7 linked regions of the Callithrix jacchus genome follow. The protein of the gene in region 5 interacts with the protein of the main gene of each other region in a pairwise test. Links are inferred from orthologs where the notes say so. Each region holds a gene or a part of one and is shown on either strand. Other genes may lie near its edges. The genes, in order: HPCAL1, SCNM1, DTNB, BRAP, HMG20A, RPP30 and CCDC136.

Region 1 (4,101 bases), on a different chromosome or scaffold from region 5:
TCCAGGGCGGGTCTCTGTAAGGTGACCGGCTGAGCTAGGTGGGGGAAGTTTTCTGACCATCCACTCCCTGTCCCATCATTGCTGTCAATGTGCCCACACTGTGGTCACCATAGCCCTGGCTCTGCTGGTCTACATGCAGGAGACGCCGTAAGGAGTCTGCCCAGGTGGACATGGCCTCGAGGGCAGGAGGGGGCGCCTCTGGCTCCAGCTGGTAGGGAAGCACAAGGTTCGAGGTTGGCTCCGCCCTGGCAGCCTGAGCCCTGGTGCGGCCTCTGTGTCTGTTTGAGGCTCTGTGTCAGCTGGAATCGCTAGAGCACCCTGCAAAATGTCTGTGCAGGCAACACAGGCCTAGCACAGGGGAAGGCGCGCAGTGGGGGCTCTAGGCTCTCGGTTCTGGCACATGGCAAGCCACCAATGATTCCAGGCCTCAGGATCTTCGTCTCGAAGGTGGGATAATGAGAATGCCCATCTCGAAGGCGACTGGGGGGATGCAATTGAGGACTGAGCCCAACACCAGGGCGGAGGATGTCCCTGCCCAGTAGGACCCTGCTGGGAATCCAGCCCCTTTGGCCCATTGGCAGTCAGGTACACATGTCCTTATGGGACTCTGGCCTGGGCTCCAGCAGGCTGGCTTCTTCCAGGGCACAAACTCGATGCCTCTGGGGCCTGGGCAGCCTACTAACCCCAAAGGACCCCACACGATGCCTGGGCCAAGGGATGGGCAGGGAAAGGGAGGGACAGCCAGGTTCCCAGCAAGCAGTCCCAGGACCCTCTGCCAATGGAGGCTGCCGGCCTTAAGGTTGATGAGGACATTTGTGGGCCACTCCCCACCCTCCACCTCCGACCGCACAGGGCAGCCAGCTGTGGGCCTCAGAGTCCACAGCCCCAAAAGCCCTGGGCCAAGCCCCAGCCGCCCCACTTCCTGTCCCTGACCCCAGCCCCCTAGTTCCAGGCTGAGAGAGAGCAGGTCTGCCCAGATGGACCACGGGTCGGGAGAGCCAGAGCTGCCCCAGGCTGACCTGGAGGGCTGCTGAGATGCCAGGGAGCTGCTGAAGATTCCAGGGGCTCCTCCTGACGGAGGGCAGGCAGGCGAGGGGACTGCTCAGCACAGCCTGAGGAGAGGGTGGTGTTAATGATACCTGTGCCCTGGGGAAACCTGTCAGCCCAGCCCAGAGGCCCGGAGCAGCCGTGCACCTGCTGGGGTGGCCAGGGAAGCTGGGGGACCCTCCAGGGCACCGTCACTCCCGAGCAGTCCCTGGAGGAGCCTTGAGGGCTGAGGACCACAACCTGAACTCTGGCCCCTGGCTTCGGCCCACCTTCCTGGTATCACTCTTCCCTCCTTAACCCAAACTCCAAGGACAGACAGGTCCCCTAGGCTCAGAGGAGGAAGTGCTCCATCCCAGCGGGCACATTAGCAACGTCACATGCCATCCCAATTCCCAAACAACTTCGAATATGCCCTCTGAAGAGGTGGGCAGGGCCAAGCTGGGAGGCAGGTTCTGGCAGGACCATGGGTGGCTTCCCCAGGGACGCTGAAGTCAGGAAACACAGCCGCTGTTTGTGGAGCGCAAACCCTGCTGAGAGCTTTATGGCATCGTCTCGCTGAAACCTCACAACCCGGTAGGACTGGATTCGCCCTCCCCACGAGGATCGAACAGCTTCGGGAGAGCAGCAGCAGGTGCCCTGCTAGGCTGGAGGGTGGAAAACACTTCCCATCAGCCCGAAGGCCACGCCAGACAGCAGGCAGGCTTGCTTTCTGCGTGCATGTGTTTTGAACATGGTGACCTGGCTGCCTGGAACGATCTTTGCTGCCTACAGCTCCCCCACAGCCCGTCCCCCGCTGGGGCCGTGCTAACCTCACCGAGGGCTGCACTCCACACTTTCCAGAGCAGCTTCCTGGGCATTAGCTTATCTTAAATTCTCCAGCACAACCCAGGGAGTATTTTCTCTTCTTAAGGTTGCATTTCTTCATTGTTCAAAAGCAAAGCAAGCCTGGTGCTATGGCTGCCCTTGACAAAGCCAGCAAGAAGAGCAGAACTGGAAGCTGCCACAGCCGCCCCAGATCTCACAGCCAGTGCAGAGGAGGGCACTCGAGGCACAGCCTCGTCACCACTGCTGCCACCACCATTGTGAGACTTGCATTTCTGCAGTGGGGCTGAGTCCCCACAGAGCTGCCGTAGGCGGACAAGGTGGCAGTGTACATCCTGACAGTTCCCCTTGGACACTGAGGCCATCTGGGCAGCCTCCTCTCTCAGGATGGCAGCCAGAGAGGCATGGCCAGCACCCCAGGACCCCACCATCTGGGATCCTCTGATCCCAAGCCCTCCAGATTCAGGGCTGCCAGCACGCCTGCCTCCCTGCCCCTAAACATACCCACAGGAATATAGGTATGTCCTGTTCTACGAGTAGGGAGATGGTGGCTCAGAGGGGCCACAACATGCCCAGCATCACAAAGCCGCACAGAGGGGCTGGGGCACAGCATGGGTATCCCCAACTGTATCCCGCCTTTCCCTGGGCATGACAAGCACCAGGCAGGTGGGCCAGGAGACCAAGAAGCTGCAGAGGGGAGGGGGCGACCCAAACATGTTTCTTGGACACACGCAGCCCTGCCCCCACACCAGCCCTACCATCGTTGTTGGTGTCCATCTGCCTGAAGATCTTGTCCGTGCGCTTCTCCGGGGTGGACTCGTCCTCCGGCATCTTCATCACCGAGGACACCATCTTGTAGATGGCCTGCGGACGGGGGCAAGGACAGTGTGCTCAGAGGCCCGGAAGCTCGGGCAGGTGCAGCAAGGGTAGGCTTCTGCCCAGCCCATGACAAGGCTTGGAGAGGTCGTGGGCTCCTGGTGGCCTTCAGGACCCTTCCCCAGTGGGGAGAATGTTCCCCAGTGAACTTCACTGGCGTCTAAGTGAAGTTCAAGAGCAGAGCTGGCAGGATGGCTCTACTGGGAGGTGGTGAGGGTGGTGGTATTTCTGCCTGGGGGGGTAGTGCCAGGAAGGTGCCTGAGTGCCCCTCTTGGGGGCTGGGAATGCTGAGAGAGGGTGGTGGTCACGTGGGCAGAGTTGCGTGAAATTCGACATGCTGCCCGCCATGTGCATTTTACTGTGTGGCTGTTACCCCGCAGTTTAAAAGAGACTGCCCCTGAAACTCACAGGGAGAGCCCCATCACCAGCCCCTGACAGGACCGGAACCCGTGGCCCTGGGTCTCCACACCCTCTTTGGGACACTGTCAGCCGAGGGCTCAGCCTAGCTGCTGGTCTCTCTGTGCATCTCTGCCTGAGTGGCCCAGCCTAGGGCACATGCCCCTGCGCTGCTGGTCAGTGTACAGGGGAGATGGTGATGGGGCTGGTGAGTGGCCGCTGAGCAGTGACATGCATGGGGAGGGGCGGCACTGCTGTGGAATTTTCTGAGCACTCCGTGTAGAAGTGTCATTTCCAAGACAACAGACCATTTTCTCATTTTGAGAAGAGGTAGCACCAAGTGTCCCCTGAGAAACACCAGGCAGCCAGCCAGGGAGCCATCCATGGCACTGGGGGAAGGCTTTCAGGGTTTGAAGACTTGGTTTGGGAGTTGAAAAGCGAGATTCTGTTCAGACAGAAGTGGCTGCTCCTTGCTGCTCCGAACAGTTCTGCCAGAGCCTCCAGGTTCTGGCCACGCCTCTGCTCAGCCAGGGGCAGGCATGCTGATCTCCAGAGGGTGAGGGTTAGCACAGGGCAGGGTGGGCGGTTCCCGGGAAACAGATTTCTTACTTCCGCCACTGTGTGAAGCTAAGAGCCAGAAAGTGGTGACTGAAGCAGAGTTCCCCGAACCCGTGTTAATTTCCTCTTGCAGTGTGAAAACCATCTGTGTGGGAAACGGGCCCCTCGCTCCGAGGCGGGCTGCGGCTGGAGCAGGAGTTCTTGGATCTGATACCCGCTGCTGGAGGCCTACCCCTGAGGTTCCCTACCATGGGACCACTGCTTCTGAAGAGTTCCATTTCTTTCTTGTTTTGTTTTTGGTTATTTTGGAGGCAGGGTCTCACTCTGTCACTCAGGCTGGAGTGTAGCTGTGCAATCCTAGCTCACCCTCAAACTCCTGGGCTCAAGCGATCCTTCAGCCTC
Region 2 (4,873 bases), on a different chromosome or scaffold from region 5:
GCTGAGGTGGGCAGATCACAAGGTCAAGAGATTGAGACCATCCTGGTCAAGATGGTGAAACCTTATCTCTACTAAAAATACAGAAAATTAGCCGGGCATGGTGGCAAGCACCTGTAATTCCAGCTACTCCAGAGGCTGAGGCAGGAGAATCACTTGAATCCAGGTGATGGAGGTTGCAGTGAGCCAAGACTATGCCACTGCACTCCAGAGTGAGACTCCATCTCAAAAAAAAAAACAAAAACACATCCTCCCTCCCTCTCCCCCTTTCTTTCTTTCTTTCTTTCTTTCTTTCTTTCTTTCTTTCTCTCTTCTCTTCTCCTCTCTCTCTCTCTCTCTCTCTCTTTTTTTTCTTTCGAGTGTTACTCTGTCACGCAGGCTGGAGTGCAGTGGCATGATCTCAGCTCACTGCAACCTCCAACTCCTGGGTTCAAGCAATTCTCCTCTCTCACCCTCCCGACAGGTTCAGGCAATTCTCCTGTCTCACCCTCCTGAGTAGTTGGGACTACAGGTGCCCACCACCATGCCTGGCTAATTTTCTGTATTTTTAGTAGAGACAGGGTTTCATCATGTTAGCCAGGATGGTCTCGATCTCCTGACCTTGTGATCTACCCGCCTCAGCCTCCCAAAGTGCTGGGATTACAGGCAAGAGCCACCACACCCAGCCCCCACCATTTTTTTTTTTAAGACGGAGTCTCACTCTGTCACCCAGGCTGGAGTGAAGTGGCATGATCTCGGCTCACTGCAACCTCTGCCTCCCAGGTTCAAGCGATTCTCCTGTCTCAGCCTCCCGAGTAGCTGGGGATTACAGGCACACGTCACACACCCAGCTAATTTTTTATATTTTTGGTAGAGATGGGGTTTCACCATGTTGGCCAGTCTGGTCTTGAACTCCTGACCTCAAGTGATCCACCTGCCTCGGCCTCCCAAAGTGCTGGGATAACAGGCATGAGCCACTGTGCCTGGCCAAAATTCTCCTTTTCTTGAAACACTAAGTAACATCTCCGGAATACCAGTGTTCCTTAGAATACACATTGGAGAACTTTTTTTTTTGAGACGGAGTTTAGCTCTTGTTACCCAGGCTGGAGTGCAATGGCGCGATCTCGGCTCACCGCAACCTCCGCCTCCTGGGTTCAGGCAATTCTCCTGCCTCAGCCTCCTGAGTAGCTGGGATTACAGGCACACGCCACCATGCCCAGCTAACTTTTTGTATTTTTAGTAGAGACCGGGTTTCACCATGTTGACCATGATGGTCTCGATCTCTTGACCTCATGATCCACCCGCCTCGGCCTCCCAAAGTGCTGGGATTACAGGCTTGAGCCACGCGCCTGGCCTCACATTGGAGAACTTTTAGAGCCATCTTTCTCCTTCTGAGCCTTCCGACCTCTGGCTTTCCCCTCCCATACCTGTACTTCCGGCGGCAGCAACTGTTATAGTCGGGGGCTCTGTGCAGAGCACTCTGGGTGATAAGTCGTGTCTGGGTTAGCAGAGGAGCCTGATAAGGAGATGGGAGACAGAGTCAGAGGCTTCAGCCCTCTTCCCTTCCAGCCTGGTGTGTGCAGCAGGGTCTTGACTAGAATACACTCTCCATTCTGATTACCTCAGCTTTGGTTTCTTCCCTTCTCAATTCATTCTGATGTCTTGGATTCTGCTTCCTCTCCTTTCCTGGCTGCTTCTTGCCATAGAAAAGCTGCAAGCCTGAGGAGAAAGGGAAACAAGACTAAAAGCATAGCACCAAGAGCGGTGTGCAGAAATTTCGAGGGTTTATTCCCCATACCCTGTCTTTCCCCAAACTTACTGGATAGATGTTTCTTGCCTGCTCGGTGGGCAGTCAGCATAGCCAGGGTGTCCAGTACTGGTCGATGGGGGCAGATGGCACAAGCAAAACTGAGCAGGGGGAGAGAAGAGGATAATTGGTCCAGGGGAAGAGGGTGGGGCCAGTCCCTACAGTAAGTCCCACCCTGTCCTAGCAGTCCTTTCCAAAGCCCAACTCCAGGTCATCCAATCCCCACTTCTTCCGATCCTCACTTCCGGCCAAGGAATCCTAGATACTCCTGCTGTCCTGATTAATAACAAAAGTTTGGGGCCGGGCGCCGTGGCTCATGCTTATAATCCCAGCCCTTTGGGAGGCCGAGGCGGGTGGATCACGAGGTCAAGAGTTCGAGACCATCCTGGTCAACATGGTGAAACCCCGTCTCTACTAAAAATACAAAAAAATTAGCTGGGCATGGTGGCACGTGCCTGTAATCCCAGCTACTCAGGAGGCTGAGGCAGGAGAATTGGCTGAACCCAGGAGGCGGAGGTTGCGGTGAGCCGAGATTGCGCCATTGCACTCCAGCCTGGGTAACAAGAGCGAAACTCCGTCTCAAAAGAAAAAAAAAATTAGCTGGGCATGATGGTGCGTGCCTGTAGTCCCAGCTACTCGGGAGGCTGAGGCAGGAGAATTGCTTGAACCCAGAAGGCGGAGGTTGCGGTGAGCCGAGTTCGTGCCATTGCACTCCAGTCTGGGTAACAACAGCGAAACTCCGTCTCAATCAATCAATCAATCAATCAATAAAGTTTGTTGAAGCCGGGCATGGTCGCGCCCGCCTGTAATCCCAGCTACTCGCGACGCTGAGGAAGCAAGATCACTTGAGCCCTAGAGTTTGAGGACAGCCTGGGCAACACAGAGAGACCTCTATCTTTTGTTTGTTGAGCCTCTAACCATAGAACCCTCAGGCTTGGGCCACTCCTCGCTCTTACCGTCCATCCCGAAGCATCAGCGCCTCATCCTCTGGGATGTAACTGGCTAGCAGATCCCCGACTCTTCTTTTCTGCAGGGAGAAGGGGAAAAAATCCGGACGGCATCAGCAGATAGGAGAAACGGATGGAAGTGAAATGAGAGAAATGAGGAGTCAAATGGAATAAGGACCCTGGGGAGAATAGTGATCATAGACCGAAAAAGGTGTCACTACCCAGCTCTAAGTCGCCTCTTTCTCTCCCGCACCCCCGAGCTGTTGCCAGTGCAACAAAACAAAGCTCCTTCCCAACCTTCAGAGAGCGACTGAAGCTGCCCTGGATCCTCTCTGCTCACGCTTACTTTGAGAACATTGAGTTGACTCCAATCGTCTCCTTCCCTCTTGAAAGACATCACGACTGTGAGTCCCAGAAATGATAAATTCTCTTGTTCCGGTTTCTCAACTCCTCCAGGCCACCGTAGCAAGAGTGGGACAACTCTTTCTCTGTTTTCAGTCTCTTCCTGTCGGCCTCCGTACTTCCGGGGATGCGCTTCCACACAGGCTTTGCGCGTCCGGAAATCTACTCGCTGGTGCACGGAGGGAACTGCATTTCCTATGGTGCCCTGCGACACTGCAGACGCCGAGCCTTTTGGGAAATGAAGTCTTTTCTCAAAGAGCTTGCCGCTCTGCTGGATCCAGGCCCTCGCATCCTGGCGGATCTGCGGCATTTGGAGGGACAAGAAGCTAGATGTGGAGCCGAAATGTGAGGGTGTGACCTCTCTGATGAGTGGAAGGTGTACTACAGACTCTCGCAATCTTCGCGCTCTTCATCTGCGGCGACAGTTCACCTGGGGTGGGCTGATTTGTTTCTGACCCTAGCGGACGAACCCCGGGACCGGGCAGACCCGGGATGCGAGAGCCCCCAGAGGCCAGGCTACCGGACTTGGGGGCAAACTGAGGAAAGACTGTTGAGGATTATTTCTAGAGGTCAAAGGTCAGAGGTCAATGTAGCGAGGAGTTGTGGGGGGTTCACAGTCGGTGGGGTGCTTAGGGGAGAGATTCAGGGAGGGACTGAATACTCAAGGGACAGATTTGTGGATAACAAGCTTGGAGAGAGGAGAAACCGGGAGGGGGCAGGTGGCGTAGTGCCGGGGAGGCGGGGACACAGGGGAAGAGAGAAGGGGAAAGGAATCCCTTGAATATCCATTCCCAGACTTAAGGCCTGTCACCCTTAGTCTCGGCCGGGCCTTCCCCAGTTGCAACCCTACCTGTCGTTAGGGTGAAGAGATGGCTTCCCCGTCTAGACAGCCCCCCCCAGGGGGGTCAGGACTTCTTCAAGGGAGCCGGGCTCGTTCATATGGAAGCCTCGTGCAATCGGCCTGCTCCCCAGTGAGGGAGAGACGCCTGGAGCATCACTTGGAGCCTGGAGACACCCTGGCTGGACTAGCACTCAAATATGGGGTGACGGTGAGTTTTCCAGGATTGGGGTGCAGACAACAGTCAGGAGGGATTTAGTCCTGAGAAGAATGTAGTGGCCTTTCTAGGTAAACTCCTCTGAAAAGTTCCTAAAGTGTTACACCTGTTCTGCCTTTATCTTTGTTTTCCCATCACAGTGTTGCACTGCCGGGTTGGGACAAGTCCTGTCCTACTATTCCAATGGAGAGGAACAGCTCCAATTTTACTATGCCAGACACTGTGCTGGGGGCTTCACATACATTAGCTCATGTCACCCTCACACCCTATCAAGTACATTTATTGTTTCCTTTTGGCAGATGAAGAAACTGAGACTTGGATTGGTTAACCAGTTTGACTAAGGTCAAATAATGAGTGTCAGATTTGGGATTCAAACAGGTCTATCTGACGCTATTAACCACACAGAAACATTTTCTTTTCATTTCTTTTTTTTTTTTGAGGCGGAGTTTCGCTCTGTTGTCCAGGCTGGAGTGCAATGGCGGATCTTGGCTCACTGCAATCTCTGCCTCCCAGGTTCAATAATTCTCAGCCTCAGCCTCCCGAGAAGCTGGGATTACATTACAGGTGCCTGCTGCCACACCTGGCTAATTTTTGTATTTTTAGTAGAGTCACGGTTTCACCATGTTGGCCAGGCTGGTCTTGAACTCCTGACTTCATGATCCACCCGCCTCAGCCTCCCAAAGTGC
Region 3 (4,101 bases), on a different chromosome or scaffold from region 5:
GCAGCCTCTGCCTCCTGGGTTCAACAGATTTTCCTGTCTCAGCCTCCCAAGTAGCTAGGATTACAGGCACCTGCCACCATGTCCAGCTAATTTTTGTATTTTTAGTAGAGATGGAGTTTCACTGTGTTGCCCAGGCTGGTCTCAAACTCCTGATCTCAGGTGATCCACCTGCCTCAGCCTCCCAAAGTATTGGGATTACAGGTGTGAGCCGTGACACCCGACCAATCTCAACAATTTTAAATAGACACTTTTAACTTAATTTTGGTTTCTTGGTTATCTGCATGTTCATAGAGGCATTTTCCATATCTGTTCCTTCATTCAAATGTTAGGTGGCTTTATGGTTTTTAATGTTATTCACTGATTCTTCCCAGATTCCATCCAGATCTCAAACAATAGTATTCTTAGATTCTGAGATGGAAAACACTTAGGATAACCTTTCTTTAGCCTATTTGAGTAGGTACTTCTCATGCTTCACCATCAGTGCTGAGTGAGATGTATAGAGGCCCTTTGAATGACAGCTACATACCACATCATTCTGTCAGCCCTTTTGCGTAGCTCTCAACTCCTCCTGCCCCAGCCAGAAGTTCCATATTAGAAGTTAAATTGAGAAACTGTCAAATTACTTAACTACTTCATGCTGGCCTGCAAGCTGTCTGGAGATGAGACTGTCCCTTGGCTTTCTTCATCTTTTCCCGATATGTATTGCACAGCTTCTTTCCTGCTCTGCCTTCTACTCTATCTCCCTTTACTATTCCCCATTTACCAGTTTCTTATTTTAAAGATTATTCTTAATAAGAATGACCTCCAATTTACATATACTGGAATCAAGATTCTCTTAGTTGCTAGAAAGATGCAGAGGAAAAAGTCTGTCTAGTCTCGAGCCTTGTGAGACAGAAGCTCTCATTGGAAGGGTCCTGTGATGAGTCCCATGACAGCCCTGGGGGCCTCTGTCCTTCAGGCCAAGCACCCCAGTTTCTTCACTCCTCGCTTCCAGTTTGTGTTAAATATATATTTTTAGTGGTAAAAATTGGAGTTATTTTGTAATCAGCTGCCAATGTCTTTAGATCAGCTCTAACCAATTTTTTCTACCCTTTTTCCCCCCTGAAATAAATGATTTAAACGTTTTATGGGGAAATTCTTATATTTTTTTATTATCCTGTTCTTCACATTAAGAGGTGGGGCTGGGAACACAGTTACTTGGGAGAGAGCAAGGTGAAATTCTGGGTGTGCTTTTGGCTTTGCCCCAGCCACCAACCTGCTGCTGAGTGGTGGGACCAGGACTTAGAGGAGGCAGCGACGGCCATGCACCTGCTGAGTGTGTGCCCTGTTGTCTCGGCTCTTCTTTTGGAACACTTTGAAGTGAGGTCTTTGTGTCCAGGTTATAATCACGGAGCTCTCTTGCTGGGTTGTGTGACCCTGGCCTTTTAGCTTCTTTTTCCTTTCCCTTTGGAACAAAGGTGTCATGTGGGCTGGAGAAAATAAAAAGAATTCATTAATTTAAATTATTATTTTTGTTTTCTCTGTATCATATAACTCTATGTTACCTTTCTAAACTGTTTTCTAATTTGGTGTCTATGTGAGATATGTTATTTCAGTATTTCATATACAGTGGAAGCTTACCATATATTTGTTAAAAAGAGAAAGATAGAACAGAAAAATGCAGTCAAGCCATTGAGCTGGTATAACAGGAGCATTGTGATGGGTATTGGGATATGTAGGTTTCAATCTCATCCTTATTGTAACTGTCTCTGTGATTTTGTCAAACTATTTGAACTACTTGAAGCTTCTATTTTCTCTTCTATAAGTGAGAAAGCTGCTGAATGATGTCTAGGTGTTTGCCCTTCGATTTATTTTTTTTCAATAGTTACTTATCAAGTGTTCCTTGTGTGCCAGGCACTGTTAGGAAACCTGGAAATGTGGTAGACAAGCAGCCACAGTCCCTGCTCTTATTGATGTTGCTTTATACTCAGGTGTGGGGTGTCTTCTCTTCCCCACTGGATAGCAGAAATAGTAACTTGAAGGACAGTCTTGGCTTTGTGTCTGATTTGGGCCAGGCTACCAAAAAACCTTTAAATGATTCATTTTCTCATCTGTAAAGTGACGATAGTAATATCTAACCTAGGTTATCTTATACATTTGACTAAAATAAAATAACATATGCGGGAATACATTTGAATATACTAATAGTAGTATAAAGTACAGCATGTAGTGGTATCTGTAGTAATGTAAAATATTTTATTTTGCTATGAAATTTAGCATGTAATTCACTAAAGCTTGGATGGGAAAATCTTAAATTAACTTAATCTTGGAGTTCAGAGATTCTTAAAAAATATGGCCAGGTGTGGTGCTCATGCCTGTAATCCTAGCACTCTGGGAGGTTAAGGTGGGCTGGTCACCAGAGTTCGGGAGTTAGAGACCAGCCTGACCAACATAGAGAAACCCCATCTCTGCTAAAAATACAGAATTAGCTGGGCATGGTGGCACATGCCTTTAATCCCAGCTACTTGGGAGGCTGAGTCAGGAGAATCACTTGAACCAGGAGGCAGAGGTTGTGGTGAGCTGAGATCATGCCATTGCATTCCAGCCTGGGCAACAAGGGCAAAACTGTCTCAAAAAATAAATAAATAAAATAAAGTATATTTGTTTTTCTTCTCTTCACAGAGAAAGATAATGCTAAATATGTTTTTAGACACAATGATGGCTGACCCTCCTCCCCAGTGCCTTGTCTGGCTACCTCTCATGCACAGACTTGCCCATGTTGAGAATGGTAAGCAGAACTTTTATTGTTTAATTCTTCAGGCTATAGAAAGTATAGGAACTGATTATTTGCAATGTCTTTTGCTATTTAATATCATTGAAAATTACACTTGAAATTTGTTATCACTCTGTCATTTGATTTTGTGGTTTTGGCTTTCAGAAGAATATTTCTTTTAAAAAAGGGAGGACACTTACTATTTCTTCTTTTTTTTTTTTTTTTTTTTTTTTTTTTTTGTCCGGGACAGTCTCACTCTGTTGCGCAGACTGGGGTGCAGTGGCACAATCCTGGCTCAGTGCAACCTCCACCTCCCGGGTTCAAGCAATTCTCCTGCCTCAGCCTCCGGAGTAGCTGGGATTACAGGCACCAGCCACCATGCCTGGGTAATTTTTATCTTTTTAGTAGAGACAAGGTTTTGCCGTGCTGGCCAGGCTGGTCTCAAAGAGATGTGTATTAATTTAGAAAGGAAACCAAGAAGTAGCCTGGGCTTGATGGCTCACACCTGTAATCCCAGCACTTTGGGAGGCTGAGGTGGGTGGATCACTTGAGGTCAGGAGTTCTAGACCAGCCTGGCCAACATGATAAAACCCCATCTCTATTAAAAATACAAAAATTAGCCAGGTGTGGTTTTGGGCACCTGTTATCCCAGCTACTCGGTAGGCTGAGGCAGGAGAGCCACTTGAACCTGGGAGGTGGAGGCTGCAATGAGTCAGGATTGCGCCAGTGCACTCCAGCCTGGGCGACAGAGCGAAACTCTGTCTCAAAAAAAAAAAAAAGATACCAAGATGTAGTCATATCAGGTCATACAGTTTCAACTATATGCTTTTCCTCCCTAAGATTCCAGATGATTGTTTTCTGTTTGAGCCCACCTGATTTTTAGCCATGACTTCCTGTTTCATCTTTATCGAACTCATAGTTCTAGAAAACTGTACGTATGCAATATCAACTGTGAAAACTATAATTATTTTGGAATAATTTAAAGATATAGTTTAACAGTGGGTTTCCTTTTTTTTTTTTTTTTTTTTTTTGAGACGTAGTCTTGCTGTTGTTACTTGTGCTGGAGTGCAGTGGTGTGATCTCAGCTCACTGCAAACCTCTGCCTCACAGGTTCCAGCAATTCTCCTGCCTCAGCCTCCCGAGTAGCTGAGATTACAGGCACCTGCCACTCACTATGCCTGGCTAATTTTTGTATCTTTAGTAGAGATGGGTTTCACCATGTTGGCCAGGCTGGTCTCTAGCTCCAGACCTCAGATGATCCACCTGCTTTGGCCTCCCAAAGTGCTGGGATTACAGATGTGAGACACTGTGCCCATCCAGGTTCCTTTTTTTTTTTTCCTTTACCATTT
Region 4 (4,101 bases), on a different chromosome or scaffold from region 5:
TTTTAGTAGAGATGGGGTTTCACTGTGTTGTCCAGGCTGGTCTCAAACTGCTGACCTCAGGTGTCCACTCATCTCAGCCTCCTGAAGGGCTGGGATTACAGGCAACAGCCTCAGTGCCTGGCTGATAAACTGGTTTTTTTTTGAGACGGAGTTTCGCTGTTGTCACCCAGACTAGAGTGCAATGGCACGATCTGGGCTCACTGCAACCTCCGCCTCCTGGGTTCAAGCAATTCTCCTGCCTCAGCTTCCCGAGTAGCTGGGACTACTGGCGCGCACCACCATACCCAGCTAATTTTTGTATTTTTAGTAGAGGCGGGGTTTCACCTTGTTGACCAGGATGGTCTTGATCTCTTGACCTCGTGATCCACCCGCCTCGGCCTCCCAAAGTGCTGGGATTATAGGCGTAAGCCACCGCGCCCGGCAAACTGTTGTTTTTTAGTAGACAGATAAGGTGGTATATCATAGATTGCTAGTTGTTTTTATAAGTTTATTTTTGTAGTATTTTTTTCTTCTCAAGATCAGATTTACATTTCAGAAAGAGATTGTTGTTGTTGTTTGTTTTGTTTTGTTTTTGAGAAGGGCTTCTGCTACATTGGCCAGGGTAGACTTGGCCTCAAGCTGTCCTCCCGCCTCGGCCTCCCAAAGTGCCGGGATTACAGATGTGAGCCACTGCGCTTGGCCTATTTTCTTATTCAGCTACTTTCACAGCCACCACACAGACCAAAGGGATGAGACAAAGCTAATTTCTACCTCTAGCAAGACTGCATGCTGCTTTCTGGCTATCATTTCTGTTCTTTGTTCAAGTTTGTCTTCTCTCTTCTCTTTTGATGCTACAGGAAGAAGCAGACTGGATCCTTTCACTTTCCCTTACACAGATAGAGCTGGGTCATCTGTGACACACACTTAGTGTTCTTCCTGCTTATTCCCTTTTATTGGTTTATTTACTCAGTTGGGTAACAAACTGTTACTAGTTATATCTTGAAAATTGTTTCTTCCTGGTGCCAGTTCAGTCAGCCTCAGCTATAACCCCCTTTCTGCCTACTTGCCCATATAACAGAAATACTCATGATTAGTATTTAGCATTATTTTGTGTGGAGTATAACAGAAAGCAGTAATGGACTTTTTTGACATTGTTTTTATTGTCTTTTTGTAAATTGAGACATGAATGCTCAATAGAGCACTGGTATCTTCTACATCATGTTCATGGTACAGTGAGATGTCATGTGCATTTCAATAAGGACATTAACACCTTTGCGTTTAGCCAGGCACAGTGGCTCATGCCTGTAATCCCAGCATTTTGGGAGGCCGAGGCGGACAGTTCACTTGAAGTCAGGAGTTCAAGACCAGCATGACCAATATGGTGAAACCTTGTGCCCACTAAAAGTACAAAAATTAGGTGGGGATTGTGGTGCATGCCTTTAGTCCGCTATTTGGGAGATTGAGCAGGAGAATTGTTTGAACCTGGTTGGCAGAGGCTGTAGTAAGCACTGCACTCTAGCCTGAGCAACAGAGCAAAACTCTATCTCAAAAAACAAGAAACCCTTTGCTTTTAATTTGGTAAAATTTCCTACAGATTTTAAATCCAACACTTGGAAGCAACCTGGAGAAGACAGGTTACTTTTTGTATGATTGAAATCTTTGGGAAATGGGGATAAGGTAGATTGTTTGGAGTAGAAATGGGTTATAGGTTGGGCGTGGTGGTTTACGCCTGTGATCCCAGTACTTTGGAAGGCTGAGCAGGTGGATCACCTGAGAGGTTGGGAATTCGAGACCAGTCTGACCAACATGGAGAAACTCTGTCTCTACTAAAACTACAAAATTAACCAGGCGTGGTGTCGCATGCCTGTAATCCCAGCTACTTTGGAGGCTGAGGCAGGAGAATCACTTGAACCTGGGAGGTGGAGATCATGGTTTGCTGAGATCGTACCACCTGGGCAACAAGAGCAAAACTCTGTCTCATAAAAAAGAAAAAAAAGACATTATGGTCAGACATGAAATGAAGTCCTGTTAGTCACCTGTAAATACTTAGCCTTTGATCATCCAAGCTTTAGACAGTAAAGCAGAAAAGGACATGAGGCAGATCCCAATTTCTCCATTCTTCTCTGTTTTATCTAGATTTTGAATATTTTTATTTTGTTTGAGAATAGTACAAAAATGTTAGTCATTTAAGTGATGTCCTTAGTTACAATAAACTTAAAAATAGCATATAAGAGGAGGAGGATATAAAGTCCAGTGTTTGACTTTTGGGTTCTGTAACAGCTGTCTTTTATATTTAACCTGCACCATTATCTTTTGGTGTCCTGGATAGGTGTCCTGTTTGCCGGTACTGTCAAACGCCCGAGCCAGTAGAAGAAAATAAGTGTTTTGAGTGTGGTGTTCAGGAAGTAAGTAATGGGTGATGGAAAAGAACAAAGAATGCAGCTTTAATTGTTGTGCGTTTTCTTCTACCTGGTATGACTTAAGTTCTTTTTAGTTTTTGTTTGTTTAAGAAACAGGGCTTACTCTGTTGCCCGGGCTGGTCCCAAACTCCTGGCCTTAAGCAGTCCTCCCACCTCAGCCACCCACAGTGCTGGGATTGCAGGTATGAGACACTGTGCCCAGCCTAAATTCTTTTCGAGACTGATTTTTCTTTTTGTCTAGGGTCAGGCAAGCCATATGAATACACAAATTACGTTACTCCTGAGCTTAATTTATTCCTTTTTCCTTTGCACTTTTGAAAGGTTTAGACTTTTACTGAAAATTTTTGAATTTTTTTCTTGCTATTCATATAGTGCTCTTTAGAAATCAGCAAGAAAATGACCCATAAAAGAATCCTTGATTGTTGGATTTTAAACATACATTTAGGTTGGGCATGGTGGCTCACTCTTATAATCCCAGCACTTTGGGAGGCCGAGGCATGTAAATGATGAGGTCAGGAGTTCGTTACCAGTCTGGCCAACATCGTGAAATGCCGTCTCTACTAAAAAATACAAAAATTAGTCAGGCATGGTGGTGTGCACCTGTAATCCCTCCTACTCAGGAGGCTGAGTCAGGATAATTGCTTGAACCCAGGAGGCAGATCACACTACTACACTCCAGCCTGGGCAACAGAGCAAGACTCCATCTCAAAACAAAGCATACATTTAATCAGACTCCTGTAGAAACAATTCTGTTTTTTTGTTTTGTTTTTGTTTGGTTTTTGCTTTTGTTGTTGTTTTTGTTTTTGTTTTTTTGAGACAGGGTGTCATTCTGTTACCCAGGCTGAAGTGCAGTGGCATGGTCATAGTTCACTGTAACCTCAAAAGGGGCTCAAGCCTTCCTCCCGTCTCTGCCTCCCAAGCAGCTGGGACCACAGATGCATGCCACCACGCCCTAGTTTTGTTTGTTTGTTTGTTTGTTTGTTTTTGGTAGAGTTAGGGTCTTGCTATATTGCCTAAGCTGGTCTTAAACTCCTAGGCTCAGACGATCCTCCTGCCTTGGCCTTTCAAAATGCTGAGATTATAGGTGTGAGTCACTGTGCCTGACCGATAAGTCTGTCTTCTGTGTTAAGCCCCTTCCCACTCTGAGCTGGATCATGTATTTTTATTTAACTAATTAAGATCTTACCTCTTCCGACAGAACCTTTGGATTTGTTTAATATGTGGCCACATAGGATGTGGACGGTATGTAAGTCGACATGCTTATAAGCACTTTGAGGAAACGCAGCACACATATGCCATGCAGCTTACCAACCATCGAGTCTGGGACTATGCTGGAGGTGAACACCACTCTCATTTTCTAATTTGGACTCATTCTCCGTGGAAACTTTGCCTTCGAAATCTCTTCACTTTTCCTCCCAGCTTGAAATGTCATCTTGCTGACAGCTGTTGCAAACCCAAATTCTCAGTTTCCCTGAGGGCACTATTTTCCTAGGAATGGCTTGAATCACACATTATAAAGGGAGTTAATACTTCCACTCTTGCTCTCTCCCTCCACTCTAAAATTCAAATGATTTGACAGTTTCAAAGAAATGTTGTAAGGCATTTAATTTAGATCTGAAAAAACAAAAATTTTATCAGAGTTAAAAGTGTACAGAGAGAGACCCTTTTCATTCTAAAGAAACACGCTTTCATTGACTCTTTC
Region 5 (4,101 bases):
TTCCTTTAGACGTATATTTTATTTTAATTTTTTTTTGAGATAGAGTTTCACTTGTCACCCAGGCTGGAGTGCAATGGCACAATCACTGCAATCTCTGCCTCCCAGGTTCAAGTGATTCTCCTGCCTCAGTCTTCCAAGTAGCTGGGATTACAGGCATGCACCACCACATTCAGCTAATTTTTGTATTTTTAGTAGACATTGGGTTTTGTCATGTTGGTCAGGTTGGTCTCGAACTCCTAACCTTAGGTGATCCACTTGCCTCAGCCTCCCAAAGTGCTGGGATTATAGGCGTGAGCCACTGCGCCTGGCCTAGATGTACATTTTATAGTTAGAGGTCTTTGTATGTTGAGTTACCAATTAAATCAAAAGACTGAATCATCTCTGAAAAAAAACTAAAGAAACAAAAAGGACTGAAGTACACTGATGTCTCACCACAGCATTTTTTCTTGGGCCCTTTCAATAAGATTTAAGGCACATCATATTTTTACTTTCTAATTTTACAAATACATACAGCCCTATCAGTTAATGTTTTATGGATACAAGAATTCTTATTTTAGACAAGAGAAAGATAAAGAAATAAACAGGAACAAAAACATCTAAATACTAATTGTAGTAATCTACTCTTCCAAATACATATAAAACGTATGATAATTCACCATTGGGCAAATGATGCATTTGGTATTAGTTTAAAAACAAAAAAAACAAAAAAAATCCTAGTTACACTGAAGCTACTGTGGACTGGCCAGGGTGGCTCACACCTGTAATCCCAGCACTTTGGAGGGCCAAGGCAGGTGTATCACTTGAGGTCAGGAGTTTGAGACCAGCCTGGCCAACATGGGGAAACCCCACCCCATTAAAAAATATAAAAATTGCCTGGGCATGATGGCATGCACCTATAATCCCAGCTACTTGGGAAGCTGCGGCAAGAGAAAAGCTTGAAGCAGGGAGGTGGAGGTTGCAAGTGAGCTGAAATCATGCCACTGCACTCTAGCCTGGGCAACAGAGTAAGACTCTACCTCAAAAAAAAAAGTTATTTGGATTTTAAGAGATATAAGAAGCTTTAAGCATTCATTATAATCTTTTAAAATGCCAACAGGATAGATGAAAAAATTAGCTGCTTTTTTTTTTGAGATGAAGTCTTGCTTTGTAGCTAGAGTGTAGTGGTGTGATCTCGGCTCACTGCAACCTCCGCCTCCTAGGTTCAATCGATTCTCCTGCCTCAGCCTCCCAAATAGCTGGAATTACAGGTGTGTGCCACTATACCTGGCTAACTTTTGTATTTTTTAGTAGAGATGGGATTTCACCATGTTGGCCAGGCTTGTCTTGAACTCCTGACCTCTGGTGATCTGCCCGCTTTGGCCTCTTAAAGTGTTAGGATTACAGGCAGAAAGCACGTGCCTAGCCAGCATTTTAAAAATAAGAAACAAGACAAAAATCAATAGTGGTATTCTTTTCGGCTAAAAAAAATAAAAATAAAAGAGTGCTTTAAAACATTGACAATGTAATCAGTTACTTGCAAGAAACACTGAAAGTCCAACCAGGACATGACTGCCCTGGCTCATATACCTTTGTGTGGGGTAGGGAAAGGTACCATGGGAGGGTAAAGGACTTGGTAAGTAGTATGAGGACTTTGGGCACAGAGGACTCCATGCAGCAGGACTTGGTAAGCAGAGTGTGGCCTTAAGCAAGGGCATGTACACTTCTCGTTAATTACTTACTAATGGTTAAATAATTCACTCACTCAACAAGTACTTGTTGATCATCTAATATGAGTTGGTATAAATTTCTTAGGGAACAGGGAAAAAAGAGGCTACCTGTCTGTGTCACTAAAATCGTTAATATTGTTTTGTATAAAACAAGAAATAGAAAACAGAAAATTTTACAGGTTATCAGCTTAAGAATGTAGGAAGGTCAGATGATGAGCACCTTGATCAACATACCTTCCTTGTGACTGTTTCTTCAGGAGTTTCAGAAGGCAGAACAGAAAGAGATACTTCAGCTTACCTCATCTTCATGCCTCTGTTCATTGCCTTCTGCTGCATTTGAAGACTCACTCGGAAGCAACTGACCTTGGGAGAGATCCTCCACAAATTCTGGATTGTTGGTGGATGATGTGGCACCACTACTGTATGGAACATCTGGGTGATTTAACCTGAATAGACGAAAGTATCAACAACACAAAAACTCAACCTATTTACCAAGGTTCTAGACAAATTTCCCTGCCAGCAAAAGAACATGCCAGTCCTTGAGTTAATTCTCCCAATAGTCTGTATAAATGAAAAAAATGTCTTCACAGAAGTTACAGAGTGTTTTAAAAAACTGGTTGCAGTGCTTGATTAAACCAGGTCAGTTCCATGAAGACATCTCCTACCAAAAACAACTACAATCTTTTTCCGAAAAGATGATCTCCCCTCAACAGTGCAGTGGTGTGACTTCATGTTTTACTTCTGAACATGCAATAGAATCTGATTTAAATGCTACCTTTCATGTATCTCCAAGGTAAAGGAAAAACACTATTAACGAAAAAAGTGAATAGGAATGGGGGTTGTAGAGGCAGTTTGCCAACTATCACAAAAGAGTTCTTAAAGGGTGTAAGAAAAATCTCTTAATGGTACATTTCATTGGCTATTTCTTCTTAGATTATAGCATTTACTGACAATCAGGTCATCTAAGAACAATGTTATTAAGTTCAGTAGGTTTAGGTATACATGTTAATAAATCAGAGAGATGTACTGATTTCCTGCTCCCACTACGTTCCAGATGAGTTAGCAAACCAGATCTCACCCTTCTGAAGAGTGAATACAAGAAGGTACAGATGATGGTAGGGTCTTAGATGGACTTACCTTATTACATGTGGACAAAGGAATAGAAGAAAAGGTAACATGTGCTAGTATTATTGTTTTTGTTTTTTGATTGGGGGAGGAGTTGGGAAGGCAAGAGTGGTAAAAAGATGGGTAATAGAGTAATATTTAGTCATTATTCTGAAAGAATGCACAAAAGGGTACAAAGATGGAAATAATGGGCAGTGCTAGATACTCTCTAGAAAGGCAGTGAGAAGAAAGAAAAGTCAGGATAGAACTCGGCTAAAGCTATATCGTTACAGGAGTGAGGTAGAAAAACCAAGAGAAGAGACTGAGAAGACATTAAGAGACCTGGAGAGAAGACTATTGCAGAGGCCAAGGAAGGAAGACTTTTGAGAAGGTAGCTAATCAAGTAAAAAGCTGCAGATGTTAAATAAGATAGGCCAAAAAGTATCTGCTATGAAGGTCACTGGCAATTTTAGGAAGTATAGTTTTAGTGGAATTAGGAAAATAAATACTAGATTACAGTGGACTGAGAAATAAATGAAAACAGGAAGCAGACTGCCCTGGGAATGAAAGAAATTATACTTTTCTGACCCTTTCTAGGAAACATAAATAATTTTAGCATGAGATTCCCACATTTTTGAGGTCCTAAAAAAGAGTATGTAAAAGAAGCTATGAAATCAATGCAGATCATTTTCTCTGAAAAGCGGTACCATCGAGATCCAGTGTGATCTCTGCAGTGCTGTTTTCTAAATATTTCAATCATTTTGGATGTGTTAAGCAACTTGTTCTTTCACTGTCATTCTCATTTCAACTGTGCCATCAGTTTTTAAGTTATTAATTCTTGTACATTCTTATTTAGTAAAATAAGAGAACTAGGTTTGGGAAAGAGTAGCAATCCCATGAATCCCTGACTTAAGTGGGCAGGAATGGTCAAAAGCATCACATGCCTTCTTGATGACATGTTGAAGACTAGGAAAAAAAAGGAGATCTTTTGTTACCATGAATAAACTATCCATGTTCCTAGCTAAAGACAACAACTCTTCTATTTGCACCCTTGATCTCACACCCTCTTGCCTACAAACCAAAGGGCAGATTTTCAGCAATTCTGTCCTTCCTGGCAACACCAATGCTTTTCTCTCCATAGGATCAGCCTAATCAGCATATACGTATATTAATTCTCTTAGCACGAAACTAAATGAAAAGAAAAAAAACTCAATCCAACTTCCAGTTGAGGTCCCAATTTTTCTTCTTTCCTTTATAGCAAAACCCCTGGAAAGAACTTGTTTATATGTAT
Region 6 (4,101 bases), on a different chromosome or scaffold from region 5:
TCTGTGCAACACTTCTTACCTGGGGGCTAGAGACTTCAAAGGGTTTCTAATAGAAAGATACTGTGAGCCAATGCAGTGGGAGCTGACAGACTTGTGCTATTCTCTTAAGATATTTATGGGAGGATGGTTTAAGCTAGCACAGAAGTGAGAAAAGAATGACAGGGTATACAGGCGCTGTCACTGGTCACACCAGAGGGGTGCTTCTACCTCGGTTATTTTCGGGATCTCAGGCCTGAGGCCTACTTTCCACAGAAACTGGATGTAAGGTGCTACAACTCCTTTATCAGGAGGAGAGAATCTTGCTCCAAGTCTGCCATACAGTGTATGCCCTTTCAGGCAGGGTCTTTGCTTCTTGTCCTGGTCTGGCTGTTTTCCCATGTACTGCTTCTGTTCTGTGACTGCTCTAGGCATTCCTCCTACTACAAACTACTTTATGGTTATATAGAAGGATTATATAAATCAGCACCAAATGTGTCAGTACAGCTCCAACTACATCTGTTATATGATTATATAGAAAGAATATATGGAACTAAGTATGATTATATATGTAAGCTAGATATAGTAAGCAGTGAGGCACTTATACTTCAGGCACTAATTGTGCCTGAGGTCTGCACAGTTCTCCTTCCTCGGTGCCATGGGGAGTGTTACCCACAAGGATAATAAAGCAAGCCTTGACCTCAAAGAGTTCCCAGTCTGTCGATGGTGTGCACTCAAAATGGGAAGTGGGCAGTGGTGTGAGGGAGTCATCACTCCATTTCTCCTTAGGAAAGGAGTCTCACAGAAGTAGAAGGGTAAAAAGCAAAAGAAATGAACAAGAATAAAAGTGACAGTGGTAAAGTAAGAACTTGATGCGATGAAAATGAATACAGGGATATGAAAGAGAATGATAGTTGAAAAGAAGCACAAAGTTAAGAGTCTTTAATATCATGTTAATAATAATTTATAATGGTTAAACAAAGACCTATGTGCCAGACACTGTTCTCAAACACCTTGAGTGCATTATTTCATTTAAATCTCATGACAAGTGTAGGAAGTAAGTGTTGTTATTATTACCATTTGACAGTTGAAGAACCTGAAACTTCATGTTAAGTAACTTGTAAGTGGTATTGCCAAGACTTTAAATCAGGCAGGCTGATGCTAGAGTTTACATGCATAACCATTGCTCAAATGGCCTCCTGCTCTTGACATCTGGAGTCAGGATGGACCTGTGTTTACAGGAAGGAGAGGTTGTTATCTTTAACAAAAGTGTTCAATTTTTCTTTTCAGTTGGCTATTCAGTTGTTGCTGTCAATCATGTCGTTGACTTTAAGGAAAAGAAACAGGTAAAATAATATTTCTGAAGTTAAGTTCATAAATATTTGTAATCTGTTTATATTGGCAATCTGGGAGCTACAGATTAGAATATTTCTTAAATGCACTCCTTAATATACTATTACTTTCCTATTTTATATGTTAACATTAGCTGATGCATATTTATACAAACAAGATATTTGTGAGGTACTATGAAATAGTGTTCAGGATTCTTAAAGTTGATTTGAAATTAAGTTACTTTCACTGTTTAAAAAGTGCATTGTTGGCTGGACTGTAATAAAGATATTTAGTCTTTTTAATTTTATTGTCATGGACTTATTAACTAGTTTTTCTCTTAAACATTACTAGTAAGTATGTATTTCTCTTTAGGCCAACAACTATCCTATAGATTATTTCAGCCTAAAAATTAGTTTTCATTCTTCCTATTCACTGATGTTTGCAGTTGCTTCTCTATTTAACTTTCTCTTTAAAAATATTTTTTAAAAGTCTTTTTGAAAACCAGAAATCACCTAGCTTTTTTAAAAAAATGCATTTTTTTTCTGAGATTCCCCTTGTAATTTTTCCATTATGCCTGTGCTATTGATGTATACAATCTGTGGCAACTGTTTATTGTTTGCTTTAGGAAATTGAAAAACCAGTAGCTGTTTCTGAACTCTTCACAACTTTGCCAATTGTACAGGTAGGTGTTTTGCTGTTTAAGAAGCATAATATTTATTATTCAGTTAAAAGATACCTAATTATGTGTGCTATTCTCTAACTGGAGTTGTACCTTACTCTGCCTACCAGTCTTACATTTTCCTCAAGGCTCAGCTCTTCAGGAAACATTCTTTTACCATTAACTCAGTACTACTTTGATGATCTTCTTTCCTGAAGTCCTACGACTTTTAAATTATCTTATTATGTAGTTTAAGATACGTACATCTCTTTCTGTGGCTGTATTGTAAATTTCTAGAGAACAAGGACTGGGTTTTATTTATCTTCACTATCCCTTATAGCCAGTACCTTTTAATGAATACTTTCTATGGGTAAAAATGAAAATCAGTTATCTTTTGTGCTTCTTTGACAGCATGTTTTTTTTAAATAGGGAAAATCAAGACCAATTAAAATTTTAACTAGATTAACAATTATTGTCTCGGATCCATCTCACTGCAATGTTTTGGTAAGTTAATTATTTTTCCTCTCTCCTTTTAGCTTTGTAAGTTGTACTGATTAATGTTGAACAATGTTGCATTTTTTCTTATCCCATTTTTACATTTTCCCTCACCCCCCCTAAAGCATGACACCTGCCTACTCTCCTTGTCCTCAGAATTCACACAGTGTAACATGTCTATTCGCCTTACTCATGGCACATGTGTAATGATAGCACAATTAAAGAATCCCTTGGCAACTGTTATTCATTAAGCTCACATGCCCCAGACTTAAGGTAGGTGCTAGGGGTTATTGCCGTGAATAATATGAGCTCAATCCTTGAACTTATAAAGCTTAAAGTTTAAATGGCAAGATAAGCACGGAACAAATAATAATTACAAATGGTGCTCTGGGAGTATGTAACCTGAGTAAGTTGATACTGAACCTGGGAGACGGAAGAATCAGTAAATATTATATAGGTGACAAGCAGGGAGCAAGTGTTGCCAGATAGAATGGATTATGCATATTGAAGCCAAGGTATTTTCTGGGAATGAAACAAAACCAATAGGGCTAAGTTTAGCGAGCCAGTTACAATGGGATGAGGTTAGGGACATAAGCCTGGGTGAGGATTCCAATAGCAGTTGGAAGCCCCTGAATGTTTTAACAAAGGGAGTAAAATTATGAGGTGTGAATTACAGAGTATGGATTAGAAGGAGTTAAGGAGAAGACTTAGGAGGCTCTAGGAGGGAGAACTGATGGGATTTGTTGGTTAATTGGATGATGATTACTCCTTAGGTGGCCTGAGCAGCCAGGTAGGTAGATAATGGTATCATTTCCTGAGATGGGCCATACAAACAAGCAGGTTTGGGGGAATCATGATGAGTTACCATGAGAGTTTCAAAATAGGCCGTTAAAAAAGATGCGCATGGTGGCTCATGCCCGTAAACCCAACATTTTGGGAGGCCTAGACAAGTAGTCACTTGAGGTTAGGAGTTCAAGACTGGCCTGATGAATGTGGTAATACCACATCTCTACTAAAAATTCAAAAATTAGCAGGGTGTGGTGGTGGTGGGCACCTGTAATCTCAGCTAACTCGGGAGTCTGAGGCAGGAGAATCGCTTGAGCTGGAGAGGCAGAGGTTGCAGTGAGATCACACCACTGCACTCCAGCCTGGGCAACAGAGCCAGACTTCATTTCAAACAAACAAACAAACAGATGTGGCCTTCAGAAGAGTGATCCCAATTAAAGATGTTTCTTTGGAAGTGGTCACCTGCAGTGAATAATTGAAATCATGGGAATGGATGAGACTCCCTGGCCAAAGTGCCTTGTGGAAAGAAGAGGTTTAGTACAGAGTGCTAAGAAACTTAACTATGTAGTGGTGGGAAAGAGGATGAGCTAGAATTGGAGACTGAGGAGGGACTACCCTAGAAGTAGAAGGACAGCAAGTAAAGGGAAAACAGAAAAGGAGGAATGAAAGGTCAGCAGAGTTAGTACACCTGTGTAGTCGAGCAGAAAGGCCAAAAAAAAAAAGTCTATCAGATTTATTGATGGGACAGTCATTGGCTGCCTTAGCAAAAATGATTTCCATGGATATGATAGGGATGCGAGAAAATGCAGACTGTGCTGCTGACTTTGCTTAAGAAATTTGACTCCATAGGAGAA
Region 7 (4,568 bases), on a different chromosome or scaffold from region 5:
CACCTGGAGGTGACCCTCAGCTGAGGGCTGAAGGAAAGGAGGGGAGTCCAGACAAAAAAGGGCTTCCTTCCCGTGGAACAGGGATGGCTTGTGGACTTGGAAGCCTGTGGGGTGTCAGAAGCGTCTGAACCACAGCAACTCCATCTTGAATAGGAGCTGGGTAAAATGAGTCTGAGACCTACTGGGCTGCATTCCCAGACGTTTAAGGAGTTCTAAGGCACAGGATGAGGCAGGAGGTCAGCACAAGACGCAGGTCATAAAGACCTTGCTAATACAACAGCTTGCAGTAAGGAAGCCAGCCAAAGCCCACTAGAACCAATATGGCGATGAGAGTGACCTCTGGTCGTCCTCACTGCCATACTCCTACGCGCGCCACGACAGTTTACAAATGTCATGGCAACATCAGAAAGTTACCCTACATTGTCTAAAAGGGGGAGTCATGGACAATCCACTCCTTGTTTAGCATATCATCAAGACATAGCCATAAAAATGGGCAACCCACCATTCTTTATTATTTTACTTTCCTAATAAACTTGCTTTCACTTTATTCTATGGACTCGCCCTGAATTCTCGATTGCTCGAGATCCAGGAACCCTCTCTCTCTGTCGGGATCCGGACCCCTTTCTGGCAGCTGGGGGAACGCAGACAATCCTAGCCCTCGACCTGGGAATGGATGTGCAAGAGAGGGGATCCGCGTGTGTCCCCGGCTTAGGAATCTCCCAGACGTTTCCTGGATGTTCTGGGAAGCCCCTGTTCCCAACTGTACCCACTTTGATCCTTGCTGAGACCTGCCGGGGTGTGAGAACTGCCTCTTAGAGAGCCGGCACCCACCCAGCAGGCATTCCTTGAATAAAGCAATGGTTAAGACGCGAAATAAGCCGCCTGGGCTTCCAAATCTCACTTCCAGAGAATGACCATCAGTCGTGCCCACTTCGAGTGGGCGACAGTGGGGGCGTGGCTCGCAGCCCACCAGGTGTGGGACCGGAAGGGAAGGCAGAACGGAGGAGGGGGGGGTCTTCGGGCCCTGAGGCTTGGTGGGGCCATCGGAGGGCCCCTCCTAAGAGGGTCTCTGGCCCTGGCTGGGGGGAGGAGGGTGCGCGGAAAGCGGAGAGGTCAGGGCCCTGCGTTAGCCCATCTCTCCGGCCCCCAAGCTGCCAAGGGGCCCCCGGGCGGGGCTGGGAGGGACCTGAGGCCGGAGTCCGCGCCGGCTGCCAGGTGGGGGCGCCGGCCGGGTGGGGGAGGAAGGGGCGCACGTGTCCGCGCGTTTGGAGGAAACAGTCCCACCTTGCCCTTTGCCGTCCCCATTGCTGAGCATGACCGGGCCCTGACACCTGGTGCGGAAGGTCCCCGCGTACAGCAGACCCCGCGGGACCCGCCGCCAGAACCAGGAGATCTCACCCCTCCCTCTTGGGACAGCCTGAAGCCTGAGAGCTCCCGACGCTGTCCCGGCCCGGCGGCCCCCGGCGCTCCCTCGGGGAGAGCCTTGGGAGGTATCTGGGGTCGCGCTCACCCTCCCGCGCCGCCCCAGCACCCACTCGGAGCTCCTGGGTGCTGGGAGGGCTTCCGGGCGGCGGCGGGCAGCGGGGGGCGGTGTCAGGAGGCCCGGCCAGGCCCCGCCCCCTCGCCCGCCCTCCCTCCTCCCTGCGCACCCGGCTCCCGGTCCCCGGGCTCGCGGCTGCGGCTTCTGCTCTGGGAAGCTGCCGCGGCGGCGGGAGCGGTCATGGAGGCGGGCGCCGGAACCAGCGCGGGAGCCGCGGGCTGGAGCTGCCAGGGCCCAGGTCAGAGCCGCCCGTCCCTCACCTCTCCACCGCCCCTCCTTTCTTTCCTCCATCCCTCCTCCCTCCAGACCCCCAGGTGCTCCCGGACTCCGCGGCTCCCTCTTCTCCGCCCGAAGCCTTCCTCCCTCCATCCTGGCCTCCACCTGGGCCCGGTCTCCATCTTTCCGGCCTGGGGCTGGGGCTTCTGCGCACCGGCCGCATCCTGCCTGTAGGTCCCTCCCCAGCTCATCTCTCCACTCAAGCCCGACGGTGCTTCCAGTACTCGGGGCTCCAGACCCCGCACCCCCTGCAGCCCCGGAGGCTCCAGAGCGCTGGGCGAGGGTGGGGTGGGCGAGGTCCAGTAAGAGAATACGAGGGGAGGGGAGGGGAGGGGAGCGGCCGCAGCCCTATCCCTTCACGCACGCCCCCCACTCCTCCCTCCCTCCCTCCCTCTCTCCCTCTCTCCCTCTCTTTGTAGGCCGCCTCACCCTTTCAGCCTCTTTTCACTGGCTCCCGCCCTCTTTCAGTCTTTCCTCTCTCCTCCCTGTCCCCCGGGGCTAAATACACACACCCCCTCTTTCTGTCTGTGCAAGCAAGGGGGGCCTGGAACCAGGAGTGTCTGAGGCGGTTGGGCGGCAGGGCTGGGGTCCCCGCAGGCAGAGCGTGAGACGTAGCCGAGAGAGGGGAGACGTAGAGCCGGCAGAGTGAGTCAGGCACCTCCACTGGGATTCCAGATCCCAGGGCTCCGAGGGGCTGGAAGCCATGCCTCCCTCTTTCCTCTGCACCCCAGCCCTCAGCACCTCCTTTCGCCCTGCTCTCAGGACCCACAGTGACCACTCTAGGCTCCTATGAGGCTTCGGAGGGCTGTGAGAGGAAGAAGGGCCAACGCTGGGGGTCCCTGGAACGACGGGGGATGCAAGCTATGGAGGGTGAGTTTTCCCAAAAGGCTTCTTTCTTCCCCTTCCCCTCCTCCGTTAATCCCCTTCCCTCTCTTCCCTTTGACCCTCAGGCCTCTGAGCCAGGACACAGCCCTACCTTCAGTTCGTCTTAGCCCCTCCTCCTGCAACTCAGAGCTCCAGCCCTTCCCAGGGTTCAGACTTCGACAGAAGTTCAGAGTGCACCCCTTTGGGACCCCAATCACTCAGCTAACCAGGTTGTGTGTCCCGAGGGAGCTGCCAGACAGAGAGAGGCCTTGTTGGACAGAGCTTTGAAGCAGCTTTTCAGCAGGGGGTTTGTTCTCACTGCCTGCCGACCCAGATCCCAAGCTGTCTCTTCTTTCAAAAAGCAAGGAAGTGGGCATGTGAATTGTCTTTCTGGGGCCACCACCATTAACTTCGAATGGAAGCCTGTGGCTTTGGTTCTCTCGGATACCTTACTGCCTGAAAGAGAAAGCCTAGGAGGGGGCGAGTGAGGCCATCCTCCCAATACACGTGTGTCCCCACCACACCCATGTGACTTGGCAGTTGCTGCCAACACCAGGCCCCTGGAAGGACGCTGGTCCATTTTCCAGGACTTCCTGTGAAGTGTGGCACGTTGCACATTCAGTATAGGGAAACCTGCTCCCCCTAAGGGGGGCAGATGGCACGAGGGGTCCCACATGAACCTAAGGCTGCTGATATTAGAGAAAGTAAGACCAGAGATTCAGAATTTTAAAACAAAGCAAACAATCACCATTCAGACAACATTTTGCTATTTATAGGAACTGCATTGCAGTAAAGGAGGGGGTGCTCGCAACCAGAGGCTGGGGGCCAGCACCAAACCCCAGTTCTTTAATGCATTAGAATGGCAGCGTTTCTTTTATGCACAGGTACAGGCTAAGACTTCCCCTGAAAACTGCTTTGTGGTCAGCAGAGCAGGAGGGGCCTCCTCAGCTAGGGGAGAGGAGACCTGTGACAGCCAACAGGGAAAAACGAGGTGGACCTTCTAGAAAATTTGAAACAGGTATTTGATGATTTCAAAGGGCTCCAGAGTTTGTCCGATGAAACCTCTACAATCAGATATTTCCTTTCCCTACCTGCCGATGGGCAATGCTTTCTTATCATGGAAAGGCTGATTTTTCACAAGCCACCTGGATATTTTTTGGTTGGGTTTTTTTTGTTTGTTTGTTTTTTGAGACACAGTCTCACTCTGTTGCCCAGGCTGGAGTGCAGTGGCTTGATCTTGCCTCACTGCAACCTCCACCTCCACTTTCCAGGTTCAAGCAATTCTCCTGCCTCAGCCTCCCAAGTAACTGGCATTACAGGCACCCACCACCACGCCCAGCTAATTTTTTTTAGTAGAGACGTTTCACCATGTTGGCTAGGCTGGTTTGGAACTTCTGACCTCAAGTGATCCACCTGCCTCAGCCTCCCAAAGTGCTAGGATTACAGGCATGAGCCACAGCGCCCAGCCAGTTTTTTTGTTTTGTTTTGTTTTCTAGAAATCTCCAAACTGCAACTGTTACCTCATTTGACCTAAAGATCCGCTCACTGTCTCCTTTCTTGATTACTTGTTCCACTGCTCAGAGGGTAGCCTAGAAGCAGATAATCCTGTGCAAGTGTCTCATGGCTGAGCAGGCACCAGCCTGCCCACAGGCAGTGGTAGGAGGCTATCAAGTGAACATTGGTCCAGGAAAGGCCTGGGAGGTGGAGGGGCTGCCTCTCAACTTGACCCTCACACCTGATGACTCATCTTGAATACAGGTCTTGACTAGGGGCTCCTTGGGGAACACAAGGTGGCACCATATACCATCTCTGCCCTGGAATAGTGAGTTAGAGGGCTCTGGAGGGACTGTGGAAAGGAAGTTGGTGCCGACTCCCTCCTGGGATGGTT

What was found.
Region 1: the proteins of HMG20A (region 5) and HPCAL1 interact in binary tests that used the Homo sapiens proteins (3 or more experiments, as listed by UniProt). The two-hybrid records come from large-scale screens. The link is inferred for Callithrix jacchus from reciprocal best matches to the Homo sapiens genes HMG20A and HPCAL1.
Region 2: the proteins of HMG20A (region 5) and SCNM1 interact in binary tests that used the Homo sapiens proteins (3 or more experiments, as listed by UniProt). The two-hybrid records come from large-scale screens. The link is inferred for Callithrix jacchus from reciprocal best matches to the Homo sapiens genes HMG20A and SCNM1.
Region 3: the proteins of HMG20A (region 5) and DTNB interact in binary tests that used the Homo sapiens proteins (3 or more experiments, as listed by UniProt). The two-hybrid records come from large-scale screens. The link is inferred for Callithrix jacchus from reciprocal best matches to the Homo sapiens genes HMG20A and DTNB.
Region 4: the proteins of HMG20A (region 5) and BRAP interact in a two-hybrid assay, tested with the Homo sapiens proteins (2 studies listed by BioGRID and IntAct). The link is inferred for Callithrix jacchus from reciprocal best matches to the Homo sapiens genes HMG20A and BRAP.
Region 6: the proteins of HMG20A (region 5) and RPP30 interact in binary tests that used the Homo sapiens proteins (3 or more experiments, as listed by UniProt). The two-hybrid records come from large-scale screens. The link is inferred for Callithrix jacchus from reciprocal best matches to the Homo sapiens genes HMG20A and RPP30.
Region 7: the proteins of HMG20A (region 5) and CCDC136 interact in binary tests that used the Homo sapiens proteins (3 or more experiments, as listed by UniProt). The two-hybrid records come from large-scale screens. The link is inferred for Callithrix jacchus from reciprocal best matches to the Homo sapiens genes HMG20A and CCDC136.

The regions. Positions count from the first base shown.
Region 1 is NC_133515.1:104,572,407-104,576,507, forward strand, and holds part of HPCAL1 (hippocalcin-like protein 1), read right to left. Parts: intron 2,734-4,101; coding exon 2,628-2,733; intron 1,113-2,627; coding exon 1,020-1,112; intron 1-1,019. UniProt on the Homo sapiens protein: May be involved in the calcium-dependent regulation of rhodopsin phosphorylation.
Region 2 is NC_133519.1:11,058,559-11,063,431, reverse strand, and holds the start of SCNM1 (sodium channel modifier 1), read right to left. Parts: upstream 3,190-4,873; 5' UTR 3,128-3,189; coding exon 3,077-3,127; intron 2,811-3,076; coding exon 2,740-2,810; intron 1,885-2,739; coding exon 1,796-1,884; intron 1,696-1,795; coding exon 1,598-1,695; intron 1,493-1,597; coding exon 1,404-1,492; intron 1-1,403. Other genes in the region: LYSMD1 (lysM and putative peptidoglycan-binding domain-containing protein 1), read left to right, coding at 4,002-4,181. UniProt on the Homo sapiens protein: As a component of the minor spliceosome, involved in the splicing of U12-type introns in pre-mRNAs. Plays a role in the regulation of primary cilia length and Hedgehog signaling.
Region 3 is NC_133515.1:89,636,274-89,640,374, forward strand, and holds part of DTNB (dystrobrevin beta), read left to right. Parts: intron 1-2,661; coding exon 2,662-2,767; intron 2,768-4,101.
Region 4 is NC_133510.1:114,520,982-114,525,082, reverse strand, and holds part of BRAP (BRCA1-associated protein), read left to right. Parts: intron 1-2,308; coding exon 2,309-2,384; intron 2,385-3,597; coding exon 3,598-3,736; intron 3,737-4,101. UniProt on the Homo sapiens protein: Negatively regulates MAP kinase activation by limiting the formation of Raf/MEK complexes probably by inactivation of the KSR1 scaffold protein.
Region 5 is NC_133509.1:23,525,943-23,530,043, forward strand, and holds part of HMG20A (high mobility group protein 20A), read right to left. Parts: exon of another isoform or gene 3,104-4,101; intron 2,878-3,103; exon of another isoform or gene 2,761-2,877; intron 2,500-2,760; exon of another isoform or gene 2,153-2,499; coding exon 2,005-2,152; exon of another isoform or gene 1,964-2,004; intron 1-1,963. UniProt on the Homo sapiens protein: Plays a role in neuronal differentiation as chromatin-associated protein. Acts as inhibitor of HMG20B. Overcomes the repressive effects of the neuronal silencer REST and induces the activation of neuronal-specific genes.
Region 6 is NC_133513.1:83,643,282-83,647,382, forward strand, and holds part of RPP30 (ribonuclease P protein subunit p30), read left to right. Parts: intron 1-1,266; coding exon 1,267-1,322; intron 1,323-1,933; coding exon 1,934-1,990; intron 1,991-2,395; coding exon 2,396-2,470; intron 2,471-4,101. UniProt on the Homo sapiens protein: Component of ribonuclease P, a ribonucleoprotein complex that generates mature tRNA molecules by cleaving their 5'-ends. Also a component of the MRP ribonuclease complex, which cleaves pre-rRNA sequences.
Region 7 is NC_133512.1:118,390,151-118,394,718, reverse strand, and holds the start of CCDC136 (coiled-coil domain-containing protein 136), read left to right. Parts: upstream 1-1,679; 5' UTR 1,680-1,720; coding exon 1,721-1,778; exon of another isoform or gene 1,779-1,921; coding exon of another isoform or gene 1,922-2,007; exon of another isoform or gene 2,008-2,130; intron 2,131-2,578; coding exon 2,579-2,686; intron 2,687-2,792; exon of another isoform or gene 2,793-2,938; intron 2,939-4,568. UniProt on the Homo sapiens protein: May play a role in acrosome formation in spermatogenesis and in fertilization.